3 linked regions of the Arabidopsis thaliana genome follow. The protein of the gene in region 2 interacts with the protein of the main gene of each other region in a pairwise test. Each region holds a gene or a part of one and is shown on either strand. Other genes may lie near its edges.

Evidence for each region.
Region 1: the proteins of AT5G01380 (region 2) and ADA2A interact in binary tests that used the Arabidopsis thaliana proteins (3 or more experiments, as listed by UniProt).
Region 3: the proteins of AT5G01380 (region 2) and WOX4 interact in binary tests that used the Arabidopsis thaliana proteins (3 or more experiments, as listed by UniProt).

Annotation. Positions count from the first base shown.
Region 1 is NC_003074.8:2,468,305-2,475,340, forward strand, and holds ADA2A (ADA2 2A), read right to left. Parts: upstream 4,792-7,036; 5' UTR 4,759-4,791; coding exon 4,706-4,758; exon of another isoform or gene 4,604-4,705; intron 4,478-4,603; coding exon 4,416-4,477; intron 4,333-4,415; exon of another isoform or gene 4,332-4,332; coding exon of another isoform or gene 4,280-4,331; coding exon 4,077-4,279; intron 3,949-4,076; coding exon 3,883-3,948; intron 3,797-3,882; coding exon 3,671-3,796; intron 3,593-3,670; coding exon 3,520-3,592; intron 3,414-3,519; coding exon 3,353-3,413; intron 3,264-3,352; coding exon 3,205-3,263; intron 3,051-3,204; coding exon 3,000-3,050; intron 2,913-2,999; coding exon 2,684-2,912; intron 2,595-2,683; coding exon 2,384-2,594; intron 2,292-2,383; coding exon 2,013-2,291; intron 1,905-2,012; coding exon 1,710-1,904; 3' UTR 1,527-1,709; downstream 1-1,526. Other genes in the region: AT3G07730 (uncharacterized protein), read left to right, coding at 1-1,302; AT3G07750 (3'-5'-exoribonuclease family protein), read left to right, coding at 5,182-5,304, 5,397-5,453, 5,542-5,634, 5,836-5,914, 6,009-6,133, 6,441-6,584, 6,675-6,914. UniProt on the Arabidopsis thaliana protein: Required for the function of some acidic activation domains, which activate transcription from a distant site. The exact mechanism of action is not yet known.
Region 2 is NC_003076.8:154,434-159,948, reverse strand, and holds AT5G01380 (Homeodomain-like superfamily protein), read left to right. Parts: upstream 1-2,347; 5' UTR 2,348-2,497; coding exon 2,498-2,833; intron 2,834-3,529; coding exon 3,530-4,165; 3' UTR 4,166-4,339; downstream 4,340-5,515. UniProt on the Arabidopsis thaliana protein: Probable transcription factor that binds specifically to the core DNA sequence 5'-GTTAC-3'.
Region 3 is NC_003070.9:17,235,022-17,240,583, forward strand, and holds WOX4 (WUSCHEL related homeobox 4), read right to left. Parts: upstream 3,165-5,562; 5' UTR 2,933-3,164; coding exon 2,690-2,932; intron 2,471-2,689; coding exon 2,153-2,470; coding exon of another isoform or gene 2,141-2,152; exon of another isoform or gene 2,077-2,140; coding exon 1,882-2,076; 3' UTR 1,503-1,881; downstream 1-1,502. UniProt on the Arabidopsis thaliana protein: Promotes differentiation and/or maintenance of the vascular procambium, the initial cells of the developing vasculature.

The sequences.
Region 1 (7,036 bases), on a different chromosome or scaffold from region 2:
ATGGTTGATAAGGAGTACAACGTCTTCTTGGATCATCTTCGAAGAGGTGATAAGAAAAGTTCAAGCACTCGCCTTGAAGTTGACAATGGAGCATCTGACATTCGTAGATTAAAGATCTTTTCTTGTGATTCAAAGAGATCTAAGCTTGGGAATGAGAATCCAGTGAAGAACAGAGTTAATCAACAGAGCAAGAGGAAAACTGTTGGAGTTGAGGTTGAAAGAGTTAAAATCCGAGAAATCATTCAAAGAGACAACAGAGTTGCTGAACGAAGAAAGCGGAGGATCGCAGAGTTAGAAGCTGCAAAGACTTCAAGAGACGTTCCTTCACTCGAAACCCAACAAGAAGACATTCAACAACGAGACAACAAAGTTAGGAAACTTTCCGAGTCAAAGGCTGAGACTTTAAGAAGAGATGATGTTCCATTGGTTAAAACTCAAGAAGACATTCAAAGAGACAACAGAGTTGCTGAACGAAGAAAGAGGAAATGTGACGATGCTTTAATAAAAGATGTTCCATTGGTTAGAACTGAAGAAGACAAGAGGGTTGCTGTGGAGATTGATCACGTAGAGCGAGTACATAGAGTTACAGAGGTTAATGATGTAGATGAGACTTCTTCAAGGAGCAAAGAAGTTTTTGTAGGGAGAAGGAAGAAGAATGAGGGGAGTGAAGCGGTTGTGGATAAGGATTACATGAGGTACCTCACATGGCTTGTAGATTCTCTTAGCGATTCGACAACTGAGCCAATGGAAAATCTTCAGAAAGATGATATGGATACTCTAAAAGAATCGACAATGGTACCTGAATTGGATCCACTAGTAGAAGTGAAGGTTGAACCACATGATGATTGGTCTGATTATATAATTGCGATGGGTGATTCCCCTTTTTTGGATGGAGAGGAGTGTACACCGTTTGTGGCGTCCAAGAAAGTGGTTGATCTTGATGAAGGAAGCAAAGAGAATGAAAGTAGTAGCAGTTGGTTTAGAAAGGAGCTAATGGATGTTTTGAAAAATCCATATGATGAAGGAGAGATGAAGCAGCTCCATCGTTACGTATCAATCCATAAAAAAATGACTCGATGCAGAGAACTACGAAAGGGAAGAGGATCTGATTATGAGACTGACGAACTGGGACAATCTTATCTAGAAAGTTTCCCTGATTTCGAAAAAGAATACAAGCTTGTGGTTGGTGTTGATAAGGCAAGAGCTTTGAAGTTGCTGCGTGGCTTTTTCTTTTACTTGAAATATGTTTCTCATGATGGTGTTTTCAAGCCTTGGGAGAAGACTCAAAGTTGGCAACCTTAGAAATGGTAAAGCTTTTGGCTTCATGTAGATTAAGTTTTTGGATTTCTGTCTGTTTTTTTTTTTTTCTTTGTTGTTGGATGGCAATCTGATCCAGTGTAGTTTCTTGTAACCAAAGAATCTGGTTTTATTTAGGTTTTTCCTGAAAACTGATGCAATGTCTCAAGACTTTCTGATCTCATATAACAAAAATTGAAGGAATCAGATGAGTGAAGGCATTACAATATTCAGTTTAAACGTTGTATCAAAAAATCTGAAACAGCCTTTGAAGGTCATAACAATCAGACATTGTCAAGTTGTCGAAACTAACAGAGAACAAGATGTGTAACCAAAATCAGCATCACCTTCCTTTATATTTACATGGCTAATATATGTTCGAGAAGTACATGTTAGGACCATGAAGCTATGAGTCATGTTGAGTCACCTATTCCCTTATGAACCAGCATATCATATACTCTGTCTACTTTACTCGGCTCTACTTTGAAGAAGCTATAAGCATCAGACTTTTTCTTTATCTGCCCCTTCTTTATTTCTCTTGTTAAGATATCCAACATCTTCAAATAGTGTACAGGCAGTATTCTGGTCTCATTGCACATCTTCTTTTCCTGCACAAAAAACAGCTTCAATCTCTCAAACCATAGGAATAATGTCAACAAATCAACAAAATCACAAATAAGATGACAAACATCAAGTTTGAAAATTATTGTTCTTACGGTCTCTGAGAGTAAGTCAGCTCCAAGGAGACCATCAACATCCCAAGTGTCCAAACCGCTGTATATTCTTGGAGGTGTGACCTTTGGCAGTGAGTCAGAACCAAAGGGATGCAAATTTCTGGGTAACCCTCTTGGACTTTTTAGTGTTTTACCGGCTATACTGCCTGGTGCACCGTGGTTAAGCCGCAGCAGCATACTTTCTTCAGCTTCCTTCTTTCTCTTCTCTTCTATAAATCTATTTGCGTCTGAAGTTGTCCTGCAACCAGCAGTTCTAGCTTCCTGCAACATTTATTAAAAGCTCAACTTAATGTTCCCACCTAATTGAGTTTGTAATCCAGTACTCAAGCTTGGTAAAATTTTAAGCATCAAACCTGAAGATCCTCGATTCTTCTGAGAATTTGGTGCTCTTCAATGACTTTCTTAATCAGTTCCTTGTGCTCTTCTTTGGATTGGAACCGCGCAAACACTTTACAGCTTTTATATATTTTTCTCTCCTCTGCTGAAAGGCTCATCTCATATTGATCAGGGTACAACAAGTTTCTTTCCAGAACAAATTCCTTCCTCCGCTTCCTCTCATCAAGCCTGCCAACAAAGGCACAATCTTGGCTTGTAGCATTGGCTTATGAAAAAATTCTCCGGTTTAAAAATGGTTGTTCCTGTGATAAGTGTACCTTTTCGAGTAAATACGAAGAACCTGCAGTTTCTGCTCACGCTCAGCATCTGTGTCAGAATCCTTAAATTCCATGTCAGCAAGCAGTTGCTCAGCATCGTTGTCATGTTCGATCTCAAATTCTTCCCTCTTTAGATTGTAACCATATAACTCTGTTACTAATGGAACTTTCTCTCCAGGAAGTCTGAGTTTCTTCTCCCCGACACTCCTGTCAGATTGTTGTTTTGCAGCTAAGACACAAGGGCCGTTAACTACCTTTAGTTTTTGTTCGCGTAAATATCACTTTGCATAAAAACTTGTTCCAGTATATAACAAACCTTCCAACTTGATGATGTCCTTAGCCTGCGGTACATTGCCTTTCTTCTTGACTGTACAATAAAAAGTATTACTTTACATATGGAATCATGGAAGAGATAATATTTGGGGTCGTAGTACGAAATGCGGATGATTTGCGTCCTTAGCCATAAATCTAAGTGCAAATAATGTCTACAATTTTATATAGATAAAAGCATTTTCACATACCTCCAGCTAAGGCAGACAAAGGTGGATCTATTTCATTGACCTTCCCTGAAGCTTCGTGTCTGCCCATGGAAACATAATAGTACTTTTAAAAAGGTGCATTCAACATTGTAAACGTAGGTAAACTATTGTTACAAGCATAAGTATATACTTGATTTCAGCTGACACAGGTAACTCTTCTTTTGGAGATAGCCTCACAAATGCAGGTATTTCTGTGACAAATAGTAAACAGAGCTCAGCATCCTCCTTTTTTCAGTCAAGGTTAATATACGAGTCCCAAATCAACAAGAAACCCCGCTAATAGATTTTAAAGCTGACCTGTTTTGACTGCACTATCTTTACTCATAGCAAGCAGCTCATCTTTGCTCTTTCCAATAGTATGGGACAAGTCCTACAGAGCGGGGAGCTAGAGTAAATAAACAAGCTAGGTTCAACTATCTGACGATCATGTGTTTTCATCAGTCCTTACCGGAAGTGGAAAGCATGGTGACTGCATGTAAGCAGAATTGAAGTGTTTAATACATTCTGTCGTTGTCTTACTACCAACATGGTCTGCAACTTCTTTCCAATTGCCAAACCCGTATGTCGCAATGGCCTAACACAGTCAATTTACTTCCCAATAGTCAGATGGAATCTCTATATAGACATGGGAGTGTACAATCAGAAACGATTAATGATTACCTCAAGAAGGAGTATCTCTTCATCGGCATTCCAATCAGAAGTAACAAGCGAAAAAGACAAATTGTCCTGTCAAACAAAAGGGTAGATTCAATACAAACAAAAATACAACCATAGAACATTTTCTTTGTTTTAAACACAATCACTAATCTAATTACTTTTCAGCTGACAAAGCGTTGAATTGAATTCAAATATACTGCTCGGCGTTGGAAACTAACCATAACACGATATGGGTGACTGTTCTTGTGACGATTAAGTTCAACGCCGACAGAAAAGCATTCCACACAAAGATCAAAGTCCATACAAACAGCACATTTGAAACGAACCAAACCAGACAGATCTTTATCGCAATAGTTACAACAGTAAAGGCCAGGTTTCCTCTCATTCCCAGCTTCAATTCCTACAATGTATTGGTACATGTAAGAACTTTTGGAAAACGCAGCTTGGTACATGATACATCAATGCATATCTATCCACAGCAGAAACTTTAGTCCTATCAGTATCACACCTAATTGCACAAGTAAACGGAAACCTACCGGTGGAAATTGATGCCGCAGCATTCTCAGGACCCAATGATATCTTTTTCCTTTTTGATTTTCTGAAACAGCCAAAATCATCAAAATTAGGATAAAGACAAGAGACGACAGCAGTATGAAATCAAGAGCCACCCACAAGTACCAAAAGAACTCCGATTCAGATAATCAAACACAGCTAAGTGGATTACCAGATATTGAAATGTTTTCGCAAAGACAAGTAAGTAATTGAACAGAGAAAACCCTAGAAGACTTCGAGCTAAGATGGACAAAGAACGAAACTTTAAACGAACCCTGGATTCAGGTCTTCCTCAGCAGGACGAGAAGCTAGTTTCGAACGACCCATCGGCACCAAGCTCGCACTTCTTCCCGGCAGATTGAAGAAAAAACCAGAAGAGCGAGAAAACGCTAAAAAGCAGTGAAAAAATGGTAAGTCGGTAAATGACTAAATTACCCTTAACAAGTGTCAATAATTATGTTCACGCCATCTTTAAACCCTACGGCAGTTGTCAGTGGTCACGTCTCTCTCTTAACCTAACCAATCCAAAGTTGCCGCTAGGGTCACCGGAAAACTTCAGAGTTGTGTCTTCTATTGAATTCTCCGGGAAGGTAAAGAAGATTAGTGGGTTTTGATTGTGCTGTATAAAGATGTGTACTTTGTTTGAGCTGTCTCTTAAACCCTAGCACCAATCCGTGAACCTTGAAGTTTGTCATTCCGGTAGAAATTCCTCAGCAGTTGATCTAATTCGTTCTCTGTGTAGTATTAGTGATGGGGCTTTCTCTTGGGGAACAACATTTCATTAAAGGTGGGATTGCTCAAGATCTTCGAACTGATGGTCGGAAAAGATTGACTTACCGTCCTATCTACGTCGAAACCGGTGTTATTCCGCAGGTAGTGTAATCTCCTAGAGCTCGTCCGCTTCTCATTGTTGCTTCCCAGTTGTTTAACAGATATGTTCTTTCTCTTGTTTTTGTTGGCTCTAGGCTAATGGTTCAGCGAGAGTTAGAATTGGTGGAACCGATGTGATTGCTAGTGTAAAGGTACTTCCTTTGTTCTCTCTGCTACTGTTCTATTGTTGAATGGGAAGTGCTATTGTAGATGTTACCCAGTAATCTTGTGTAATTGCAGGCTGAAATTGGGAGGCCAAGTTCACTTCAACCCGATAAAGGAAAGGTTGCAGTTTTCATTGATTGCAGTCCAACAGCTGAACCGACATTTGGGGTGAGCTTTTCTTTTATTTCGTTTGGTTTTGGTTCTATCTAGCACTTGTCACACCCGTTCTATCGTTCTATTGGTGTTTCTCTTACTAGTGGAATTGTTCAACATGAGATTTTGGTTATCATTACTTTTCTTCAGAATCTCCTAAATTCTACTGTGTTAAGTCTTTAGGCGGCTAATTCTTTGTGATATGTTGTTACTTAGGGGAGAGGAGGTGAGGAATTGTCTTCTGAGCTTGCTTTGGCTCTTCAAAGATGTCTTCTGGGTGGCAAAAGTGGAGCAGGTCTGCAATCATGTTTATGCAATGCTTTTTTTTACCTGCACACTGTTACGCTTTCTGTTTGTAACGTTTATAGCAATTCATGTTTTGGTACCAGGAGCTGGAATAAATTTATCTTCGCTTTTAATCAAAGAAGGAAAAGTTTGCTGGGACCTTTATATTGATGGTCTTGTCATTAGTTCGGATGGGAATCTATTGGATGCCCTGGGTGCTGCCATTAAGGTAATTCTTGTGATGTGTGTTTGGTTTTCTCTCTTAACCCTTAGTCTCAGGTTTTAGTTACGAATGTTAGTGAGTAAATCATACCCATCAATCAGAATCATGAGAAAGGAAAGGCCAGAGAATATAGGAAACGAAAGGGAATGGGTCTTTAGTTAAGTGTATATAGATTAGCTCAATGTAGTTGTCTTGTTATTGGTTTTAGTAGCTTTACGATATGTTTCCAATTGATAGTTTAAGCAACCCAAAAGTCATCTTTCCTCAAGGCTGATCACATGCTTTAATGCACTTGTTGACTATACTCCTGCAGGCTGCTTTAACCAACACGGCCATCCCAAAAGTCAATGTTTCAGCTGAAGTAGCAGATGATGAGCAACCAGAGATTGACATCAGCGACGAGGAATATCTTCAATTTGACACTTCCAGTGTCCCGGTCATAGTCACGTTAACAAAAGTAATCGAATCTCACTTTTCTTGATTCACATCGACATCTTCTTATGTACATTTCGCTAATCTTTTACCATGCTGTCCTTGGTTTTTGCAGGTGGGAACGCATTACATAGTTGATGCAACAGCAGAAGAGGAGTCTCAGATGAGCTCAGCTGTATCTATATCTGTGAATCGGACAGGCCATATATGTGGGTTAACCAAACGAAGCGGGTCTGGCTTAGACCCAAGCGTCATCCTTGACATGATCTCTGTTGCCAAGCATGTGACAGAGACTCTGATGAGCAAACTTGATTCAGAGATTTCAGCCGCAGAGGCCTGCGAAGACGAATCTTGACTCTTGAGTCTCAGAGAATCAAAGTTTCAAGATGAAACATGTTAGCAAGGGATCAACAATATTTGTATCTGTGGAAAATCTTATACGAAGTCAGAACAGATTAAGCTAATCAAAATCCTTTT
Region 2 (5,515 bases):
AAATTACTTGCATATCTCCACATGTACGAATTAGTAATATTCATTCATAAAGTTAGTATGATTTATAGATTCAAAAAAATAAACACAGATCGAGTTTAGTTTAGTCAAATATTTGAATGTTTTCAAGAACAAGAAGAGTTTCTGCAATCAACTGAAATATCATTTTCATGGTCTTGGTTCAAAACCAGCAGTATTACAAACAGTGAGAAAGGTTTTTGGTATTTGTAACAACAATGTATTGTTGCAGTGACTCCAAATTCAAAAATGGAAGTCATGTGCATTCACCAAGTTACGGCAAAAGTAAAAGACTAAACTTATTACTATTTCCGAATAATCCGGAGCGATACCCTAAACAACATTCACCTCAAAAGTTCTAAATAACACGAATAGGCTGATTTTTGTATATATGCTTTTGGCTGACGTTTTTTTTTTGTTCTTTGCTTTAAGACTTCAATTCTTTTAAGCAAAAATTTGGATGGGAAATAAAAAGGATGATGAGGTGGCCTACTTGTATTGAGCGGATAAACATCAGCCAACAAAAATCTTTGTTAAAATAAAAAGTGAAAGACAGAGAGAGAGATGGCCACGTGGACAAACATGGTGGGCGTTTACACGTGGAATATAACAACACTCCGCGTTGCTGATTATTTGATTCCATTTAAATAAAATTAAAAAATACTGATTATTCTTTCTTTTGTTCACAGAAAATTCCTTCATTCACAATTTCTCTTTTAAATAATTAAAGACCACAAATTTTGAACATAAGAATTAGAAAAATTAAAGATCATTCACTAGAGTAGTCGACATTATTATTAATTTAGTATAAATAAATAAGGTGTGAATCCACGTGGGATGACAGGTGGGAGCGAAGTCTAGTGCATGTCATGTAAGATTTTGATTTACTTTCAACACGCTTCATCGCTATTTGGACCACTTCGCTGACTTTTTTTTGTTTTTTTTTTTACTACTGAGTAGTACTAGTATTTCTTACACATATCAGAGCCAAAAATACAACCCCGACGAATCTTTCTTTAGATACAAATAAAAAATATTTACTCCTACAAGTTTCATTCACCGTACGTTTTACTTGTTATATCATTGCAATGACGCGGCTTCTAAATATGTACTACCATATGTGTGTTTGGGAATCTGACAGTTGTATATTGCACTGGATCCAAACCATTTCAGAACAAGAGTACATTTTCTCTGTTCGTACGCATTATTTGTTTTGTGCCGACTGCGAATATAACGATTTCCATTTATTCATATACTAAATATCATACAATCCATAAATGAATAGTCTTCTTTTTTTCTTGGGGGAATTTACAATTCCAATCAAATTAATTTCTTAGCTAATCATAACGGTAGTCTTGTTTTCTGTAACTTAATTCTTCTTCTTTTTTATTTTGATAGGAACGTTAGGTATCTATTATGTAAAACTTGCTAACAACAATTCTCTAATTCTTTGTTTATATCTGATCTCTTCCTCCATGACACGGGGCTAATCTAAACTTCTAAAAGCATATTGATCCAATAGCTTATTTAATATATTTTGTCTGTCAACCATTAGGTTACTTTTGTTACGATGAATTTTTCAAAAGAAAAATACAAGAATTATGGGATGAGGAAAATCTAGTGGGTCAATTGACCATAAAGGCTAAATCGGATTGAAGAATAAAAATCGGATTGTGACTCGTAACTCGTAAGCGTGACGAAATATTAACGCAACATTTATATGTATTGGGACAAATTATTAACGAATAACTACCAAATGCAAAAAATACGAGACAGTTGAGTACTTGAGCTTGGTCACAAAATCATCATCAAGGAAAAACAATAACCATACAGTAAAAATATAGTTCTACAACTTTACAAATTTGAAAGCGTGTTTAGAATGATGCACACAAATAATCAATCTGTCAAAAAAAAACATATTGTTTGATTTTACTCTAAGATTAAGGCGATTGTTTTTACTTAAGATATTCTTAACTGATGCAAGTTACCCCTGTAATTGTTTGAGATTGCTATTTTTAAACTCTAGAATACGAAGAAAAAAAAAGTATGAATTATTTAGTTAGCTGCTTTAAATCTAGAGTTTATCATCCGAAAAAGGGATATCTAAGCTTTATTATTTTTAATGTAATCACGAATTGTGTCCTTTTCACCAAAAGAGTCATTCGTGTTCGTATTTTATTCAACTAAATAATTCTATAAGTTCTAGTATATTCAATAATTATTAAAAAATCTCATCTTAATAATTTTAATTAGAGAAAAGAACAAAAAACTACACTTCTATCGTCCCTCTACGATTTCACACCTTCTTTTCACACATCCTTATAAATTAATTAGATTCTTCTCTTTTCTCTCCTTCCTCTCTGTCTTCTCTTCTTTTTTTCAATGAAACCTCTCTTCATTTATAAGTAACCCAACAAAAAAATAAAATTATCTCCCTCTTATTTCTTCTCTTCACGTCACAAAGACAATTCGATTCCAAATAATGGACCGACGTAACCCTTTCCAACATCACCACCACCACCATCAGCTTCATCATCACTTGATCCAACAGCAACAGCTTCCTCCGCCGCCGCTGAGCACCACGGCGACGATGGATCCCGGCGGAGGAGGAGGAGGTGGGGAGAGAATCCCACAGTGGAGCATAGAGGAGACAAAGGAGCTTTTGGCTATAAGAGAAGAACTTGATCAAACTTTCATGGAGACCAAACGTAATAAGCTTCTTTGGGAAGTCGTGGCTGCTAAGATGGCCGACAAGGGTTTTGTCCGAAGCGCAGAACAATGTAAGAGCAAGTGGAAGAACCTCGTCACTAGATACAAGGTTACCCTTCAACTCTTTAGAATCCTATTGATGATTCTCTCTATATATAGTCCCGATATATACACCTATAAATGTTTAGTATGATCATGATTACAAGTATATACAAACTATAATTATGTGTATCATGTATTTCATCACTAGTTTGTGTGGTTAGACTGATATTATGCATATTGAAATGGAAACCTAGTTTATGGTGTATGTATAGGTGAACTACATTATATATACATCAATTAATGAGCTTAACCTAATCGCCTAGGTTTTTTAGATATTGTCCTGTCATTAATGGTAACGAGCTATAGAATAGAATTTTACGCGTTTATTGGTGAGCTTTCATCATGATATTGTCTATGTTCACATTTTGATCCGTTATACCATAATATCTCTCTTTTTGTTCGTTGATCACATGGTAAGTAAGTAACACAATATGCCATAAAAATATAATTACCGTTATATAACGGGTGCATAAGATTTAATAAGAACCGTTACTGATGAACACATGAAGATAGTTGAAAAAGTCTATACACACATTTATTTAAGGTAAAAGAAACGTGATATAGATGATGAACATGTGTTTTTGTTTTCCTATGATATATGATTTCGAGTTAAGATACTTGGTTAGCTAAAATATTTTGCGTCGGTACTATTACGTGTTTACATATAATTGTTTATATAACATAATGAATATTCATGGGACAGGCGTGTGAGACCACTGAGCCAGATGCTATTAGGCAGCAGTTCCCATTCTACAATGAGATTCAGTCGATTTTTGAAGCAAGAATGCAAAGAATGCTGTGGTCAGAAGCCACAGAACCAAGCACTTCCTCGAAGAGAAAACATCATCAATTTTCATCTGATGATGAAGAAGAAGAAGTTGACGAACCAAATCAAGATATCAACGAGGAATTATTGTCTTTAGTAGAGACACAGAAAAGAGAGACAGAAGTGATTACTACTAGTACTTCGACCAATCCAAGAAAACGTGCAAAAAAAGGAAAAGGCGTTGCGAGTGGTACGAAAGCTGAAACTGCGGGTAATACACTAAAAGATATATTGGAGGAGTTTATGAGGCAAACGGTGAAGATGGAAAAGGAATGGAGAGATGCATGGGAGATGAAGGAGATAGAGAGGGAGAAGAGAGAGAAAGAGTGGCGGAGGAGAATGGCGGAGCTAGAGGAGGAAAGAGCCGCCACAGAAAGGAGGTGGATGGAGAGAGAGGAAGAGAGACGGTTGAGAGAAGAAGCTAGGGCTCAGAAGAGAGATTCTCTCATCGATGCTTTGCTTAATAGGCTTAATAGAGATCATAATGATGATCATCATAATCAAGGTTTCTAAGTTCTCATTATTTGTGTTAAGCATAAGTTAATTAGCTAGTTAATTTGTTAGGCAAATCAATTTAGATAATATATCTAAATTAATGTTTGTTTTATAATATTTATATGAACTATTGAAATTTCCAAAAAGAAAGATAAATGTTCAAATTTTGATATATGTTATCGTGGTATGAAAATGAATTTATCCTTCTAAAAACAAAAAAAATCCTGGTGGAGAAAAATAAACCTTCAATATTAGAGGAAGAAAAATAAATAGAGAGGGAGTAAAACGAGCAGGCAATTACTAAATATAATATAAGGTAACATGTGAATTAACTAAACGATAAGAATAAGAATTAATAAATCATTTAATAGTTTACGTACATGCATAAAACAATTGTATAGATATTAATTAGATATGCTAGTTTGAATTATATTGTTCATAGTTATAGGTGTCCAAAACCAAATTGGTTGAATACTTTTAGCTACTTTATTCTGTTAATAAGAATATTTCATAACGATTAATCAGGCGATAAACAAGAATTAAACAAAAGTCTTTATTCCAAAACTTTCAATTCACATTTGTCCCACATTACTTCACCGCGTTATTTGTGTGATATATAAAACTTATTTTGTTCATAAGTAAATTGTAAAGAAAGAATTTGTTATTTTTATTCTTTTCTTCTCTTGCAAGACAGCTACCAACAGATAAAAATACCGAAAACATGAAACCGTGTTATAACGCGTTCACACTAATATATCCGTTCATTTTAAAAAACACGTATTACTAATACGCCGCGTCAGCTCAATTGTATAGAGCCGTGTGACCAACTCTGTGAGGTCACCAGTTCGAATACAAGGACCTTCAATATTTACCACTTTTTCGTTGGCAAAAAAATAGTTTATGACTAAATGAAATAATTATAATTCGAAACTTAAATAATTTAGAGTGGGAAAATGTTCTTGAATTTTACATGTGAACCCCCCAAAAAAAACACAGAAAAGTACAAAAAAACGTCAAAGAAGTAACGTTAGAAGGAGACCATGATTTGCATGTGAAATAGACATAAAGGAGACAGTACGTATTTCGAAGTTACGGAGCTCTCCAAAATTCAGAAGAAAACCGATTTGACCGTTTTTGGACCCACTACATGTATTTATAATGCATTTGATAATTCGTCATATCGAATTTGAATTTAATTTCATTCTTATGATCGAGTATTCGAGTCACTAAGATTATCCTTGTGCTTATTTGGTGATATTCGCCATATACATACTTGTGTTTTGGATAGGTATATTTGTCTATAGGACTATTTAAGACGAGTACATTATAGTCTTTAGTACTAATCATAAATGTTAACCATAATTTTTC
Region 3 (5,562 bases), on a different chromosome or scaffold from region 2:
CTAACTTAGACTTACAACACAACACTCTTTAACTAAACATACTTGGGCCTAATTCATCTTCAGCCCATTACAACCATATTACAAAACACAAAGCCCATATGTTTGTTGACTTTCTTCTCTTCCTTTGACTCTTCTCTTCACGACATCATCTTCTTCTTCCTCTGTTCTTCATCTTCTTCTTCTCATGGATTCTTCTTCTTCTTTTTCAGATTCAATCAAGGATACAATTCCAACACATTGCCGTCGTAGAGCCCACGAAGCCCGTTGTTTGCTAACCCATACATGTAGCAAGCTGACCGGCCTGGCCAAAACCGGTTTCGATAGGCCTAATACTATTTGAATACTATGTGTTTGAAATTATTTTGGACTTATATATATGTACACGTGAAAACCAAGAAACATTGAATTATTGAAAAAATAGTCATGGTCCCATTACCAATTGAATAAAGTTCTTTATTTCTAAATTTCAATCTTGCTTCCCTCCAAGATTATAAGTAATGGAACGCCATGCCCCACGCCCACGGGCAACCAATTCATAATGCATGGCAAATAATCATTTGAGAATATGATTACCGGTAAAGATAGACTTAAAATATTAGGTAGTTTGGTTATTAAAGATAAACTTAGCTGGAAATGTGTTTGTTTCAATTAGAAATCATAATCTAAACATAAAGAAACTTAGAGTACTTCTATATATGTTTAATTGATGTCCAACAAAGTTATAATTTATCTTAAACCCTTTACCAAAAAAGATTATTTTAAGTTTAGCGTTTATTTAAAATCACTGTAGAAATATACAGTTTTGTTTTACGTTGCATCAACATTTAAAAGAAAAAAAGAAGGAAAATTGGTATATAATTAACAACCAAGTAGAAGTTAGCTATCAGAAAATAAAACAAAATTATCGGCATATAACCAAAATGAAAAGAAGAATGTCACTTACAATAATTAAGTGCGAAAATATAGAAGAGCTACATATATCTGCGTATGTATAGAAACAGCTAGCTAGCATGCAATGTAGCGGGAAAGCGAGTGCATGGACTTCAGTGAGTGTGTCTCATATAATGCCATTTCAACTTTTAACCTAAAAAGCAAAACTCTCTCTTTGTTTCAACCAAAATACAAAACAACCACTTGCGAGAGTCAATAAAGCATCAGACAAACAACTAACCACATACACACCACAGCTTACATATATTGATGTCTTTGTACACATTCCATTGGAAATATCAAATTCTTGAAAAGATTCTTCTTGTTATCATCTCATAAACTTATTTAGTATATATTTATCAAAAATAAAAAATTAATATAAATATTATTGAGTCACCTGTTTTACTAAGAGTTTTAATATAAGTATATAACAGTACAAAAAGTTTTAGATTTCAATGTTTGTTTATATAGAAATATACTAGGTCTACCCCCTTTTCAACGGGAAATGCTATTATTATTTCCTTTTAACTTCTTGCTCTTGTACGTACGTAGGAATTAAGACAGAGATATTATTTTAACAACATCAAATGTGTCTTTATTCAGAAATTTCTCTAAATGAAACATTCCTACATACCAACGATCTAGAGAAATACTTAGATGGCCAAATCAGAAGAGAGTACAACTGATCACTAGTGAATTTGTCAAGAATAAACGCGAAAAAAAGATGAGCTAAACTGAGCATTCATAATTAAGATTACATCGCAAAAATAATCTACATAGGATACATCAAACTCGCAGATTAATAAGGGAATTCTTAAGTAGATTTTGTAGTTTTAGAGACTTATTCCTATTTTTATTTTTATTTTGAATTTCTAGATACCAATTGATTCCTCTGAACCTAAACCAGATCTACATAAGAATTCCACAATTTTCTGCCTCACCTTCATGACTTCATCTCCCTTCAGGATGGAGAGGAAAAAGCTCGAGGGTTACATTGTCAATGATTTTATTAAAAGTAGTTGCCATAGTACTACTATTTTTGTTTCTCCTGTTCTCTATCTCCAAGTTCTCAAATCCCCAGCTCCTACATGTCCTCTTGTACTCATTCTCTTCCACTAACTCCTCCTTCTCCACCATTGGTTCTCTCTACACAATCATAAAAATTATCCTTAAATATAGTTGATCAAAACCACAAAACTATACAAAATCCTTAAATTCCTACCATAATGTCTAGTGACGATGATGTTCTTGTCTTCATAGTTACACTCGGATTAAAGACACCAGTGGTCGTGAAGCTGCTTTGGCAACTTAGGCTGATGAGGTTGTTCCTCTTCTGCTTCTGTCTCTCGCGGGCTTTGTGGTTCTGGAACCAATAGAACACATTTTTCCCTTCGATTTTCCCGTACTTACCGAGTTGCAATGTGATATGCTCAATCTGTTGAGCATTAGGAGTACGCATTCCACCTTTGTACAACATCTCAAGTATCCCTATCTGTTCTTGAGTCGGGTTCCACCTTGTCCCTCCCGGGTGCGTCTCCAACTGAACCCACACATTATTTCATTACATTTGTTAGGAATCATACATTAAAATAAATAAATAAAATTAATAATAAAAGGAACCACTCCAGTCGTTATAATTTATAAATGTCAAAGTATTAGGTATGCCGCAATTATCAAAATTCTTCTAGAGTGAATTCTTCTTCTTTTTTCAAACGAAAGAAACGATGTAAAATGTACGAAGTACAATAATGGAACTGACTTGATGAGGAGGGTCTCGTTTGTGTTCAAATTTTGTCGGACCGGTTTGATCGGGTCTAATGAAGTTTTTAAGGTCAAAAGTGGCTGAAGTGACGCCGGAGGAAGAAGAAGGAGGGGAGGGAGGGCTGCCGGAGAGCTTAGGGGCGAGAGGACGGAGGCGTTTGCAGCTTAGGCTAAGGGATGATGTCGAGTCATGTTGATCCCACGATGAAGAAAACCCATTCGAAAACTCATGAACCTTCATTGCTATATGTTAAAACTAGCAAATGCTATGCATGCCTTTCTCGTTACAAGACTTAAGCTATGTATATATAGAGGAAGATAAGTGTGAAATGATAGTGTTAGTGTATAATGATATCATTGGTGATATCCAGTTGGGTAGGAAAAAGAAAAAGAATGGAAAATGAACAGATGATTTTTACAAAAGTGGGACGTCGGGAAACCAAAGACCAAATGATGGGATATGGTTGACTTTTATCATTTAAAATCTCCTTGTCCTTATTGTAAATATATACACTCAGAAATGTAAAAGCAATAGGTAAAGAACAAATTTGAAACTAATTGAAGACAGTGATCTTTGTTTGAGAAAGTGAAATCTCATTGTGTGAATATAGATATGCGTACGTGTGTCTCTACATACACGTAATACATGCGTACGTGTGATATCTGATATGTTCATGTCTGCATGGAGCACTACTTTAAATTCGGCATAGTAATGTATCAACCAAATTTTAGTTTCATGCTTACGCATGTCATGCGTGAATACCGCATAATTTATCTCTCTTATAAAATTTTCCTCTACTTGTAGTTGTAGTCTATAGTACTATGTCTTGAGATCCTATAATTTAGGCAGAATGTTGAGGGACATGAACCACGCTAAAAATAATATGTTATAGATACGTGATATCAAAAGACTTTACTATTCATTGAGATTGACATTGACCTACGAGCCAATAGGTTTGCTTTTACAGGAAAAAGGTTTGAATTTTTTTTTTTTGGGATCAAATTCTAACAAATGCATGTGATTTATTAGAAAAATCCCAAACCAAAGCTTGACAATCTTTCATTCTACTAGTTGTATAGGGACATAATTTCTCTCTCACCTTTCTTTATTTTAAGAAATTATTTTAGAAATAAAACACTGAAAAAAGTTAGCTTTAATGATAGGATGTCGAATGCTTTTCGGTGGCTCTCAAGTCTCAACTACTTTATTTAGAGAAAAGAAGAATGAGAAGAAGAATGAATAAGGGGAAAAGGTATCTTCCAATCCCAATACTCGAAATTGCTTTTATTACTTTTGTTAAGATACGGATTTTGCCTAAATTAGTGGTAGTTTATAATGAGCCAGGACAGACTTTTATGCGGAAAAGAAAAGGCTAGAAATATCTTAATGTTATATTATCATTGTTTATTTTGATAATAATACATCATTATAAATTTAAGCTTATATGTTTATTAGATATTGATACAAAAGCATGGTTTGGTTTGGCAATGTCAAGCGTCCCATTCACTTTAGATCAGTGTATTGTATTGTTATTCTCTTGTACATCGGGAACTGCAGAACCTCAATTTCCCAAGTAATTTGGGTATTTTACTAATGAAAAGTAGTAACGTATGATATTCCGGAATTACAAAGTTTTTTCTTCTAATTACTTTTGAGTTTTGACTAATATATCATCATCTTTTTATTTGATATGTAGTCTAGAATTACAAAGAACAGAGACCTTGAGTATGAACTGTGAAGAATAGTCAAAATTATTTAGTCTCGGCTAATCCAGTTATGATGCAAGTATATGTACAGTACGAAACTTACACTAATATATATGGATATCAAAGTTATGAAGGTGGAAAGTCACAGTTCATATCACTGGTTAAAACATAAAAATTGATATCATGGAGGAAATATAGAAGTACCAGTGTAGGTTGATCATGACTAATAGCTAAAATTAATAACATCTTTATCCTATGAAGATGGATTTTTTTATAGAAATTTCACATTTTTAAAAAATAATGTATACTGACAATTTTAACCTTTTAATATATTTTAAAAATAATAAAAAATATTTATCTACTTATTTACTTAGGATAAAACAGGTAAACAATTTTAAAATTTATATTAAAAATACAAAATTTGTATCTTTGTGGGACAATTTTTTTCCATAGAAAATTCATCTTTGTTGGACGGAAGGAATATGAAAGCTCAAAGTTCTAAAAAGACTGCTCTATCATTCATCAGATACTGGAAAATGAGTGGAACTTTACTGAACCCAAAGCATAACAAGAAACTGGTAATACCATTCATATTTTTTGAAAAATGTCATCACACGATGGATAACCTGATTCGTGTGTCAAGCTGTGATCAGATGGTTATTTCTTCAATTATCTATGGCCCATACTATATCGTCGATATTCATATGCAGTGACCCTCCTCCACTACACTTGCCTCTACCACTGTTCATATGTATTTTTTTAGGACACATATTTAACATGTTTATTTTTCGATCCATATGTAATACTATGTCGGTAATGACAGATTACTGATGGTTTGAGGTTTAGGGTTTCAAAATTTGAAATAAACTAGCATAACATGTTCACAACCAATCATTGTTGGATCTCTTTTTCTTCCAATTTGTTTACTTCGATCTCCTCCTCATCTTTTTTTTAGCTCTTTAGCTCTTCTTCCTTCCTTTGATTTGTATTGTTTGTTGATGAGATATGTAGCACCCTTCGAAAAATTCGACTTAAATCGAGAATAATTCCATTAATCCAAGTAATTCTGATAAATGGGTAATCGGTCTATGGGAAAAAGCTTAAATAAAACGTCGTTGACCTGCAATAGGGAAATGAAAAGAGTGAGACACATCTAGGTGGATA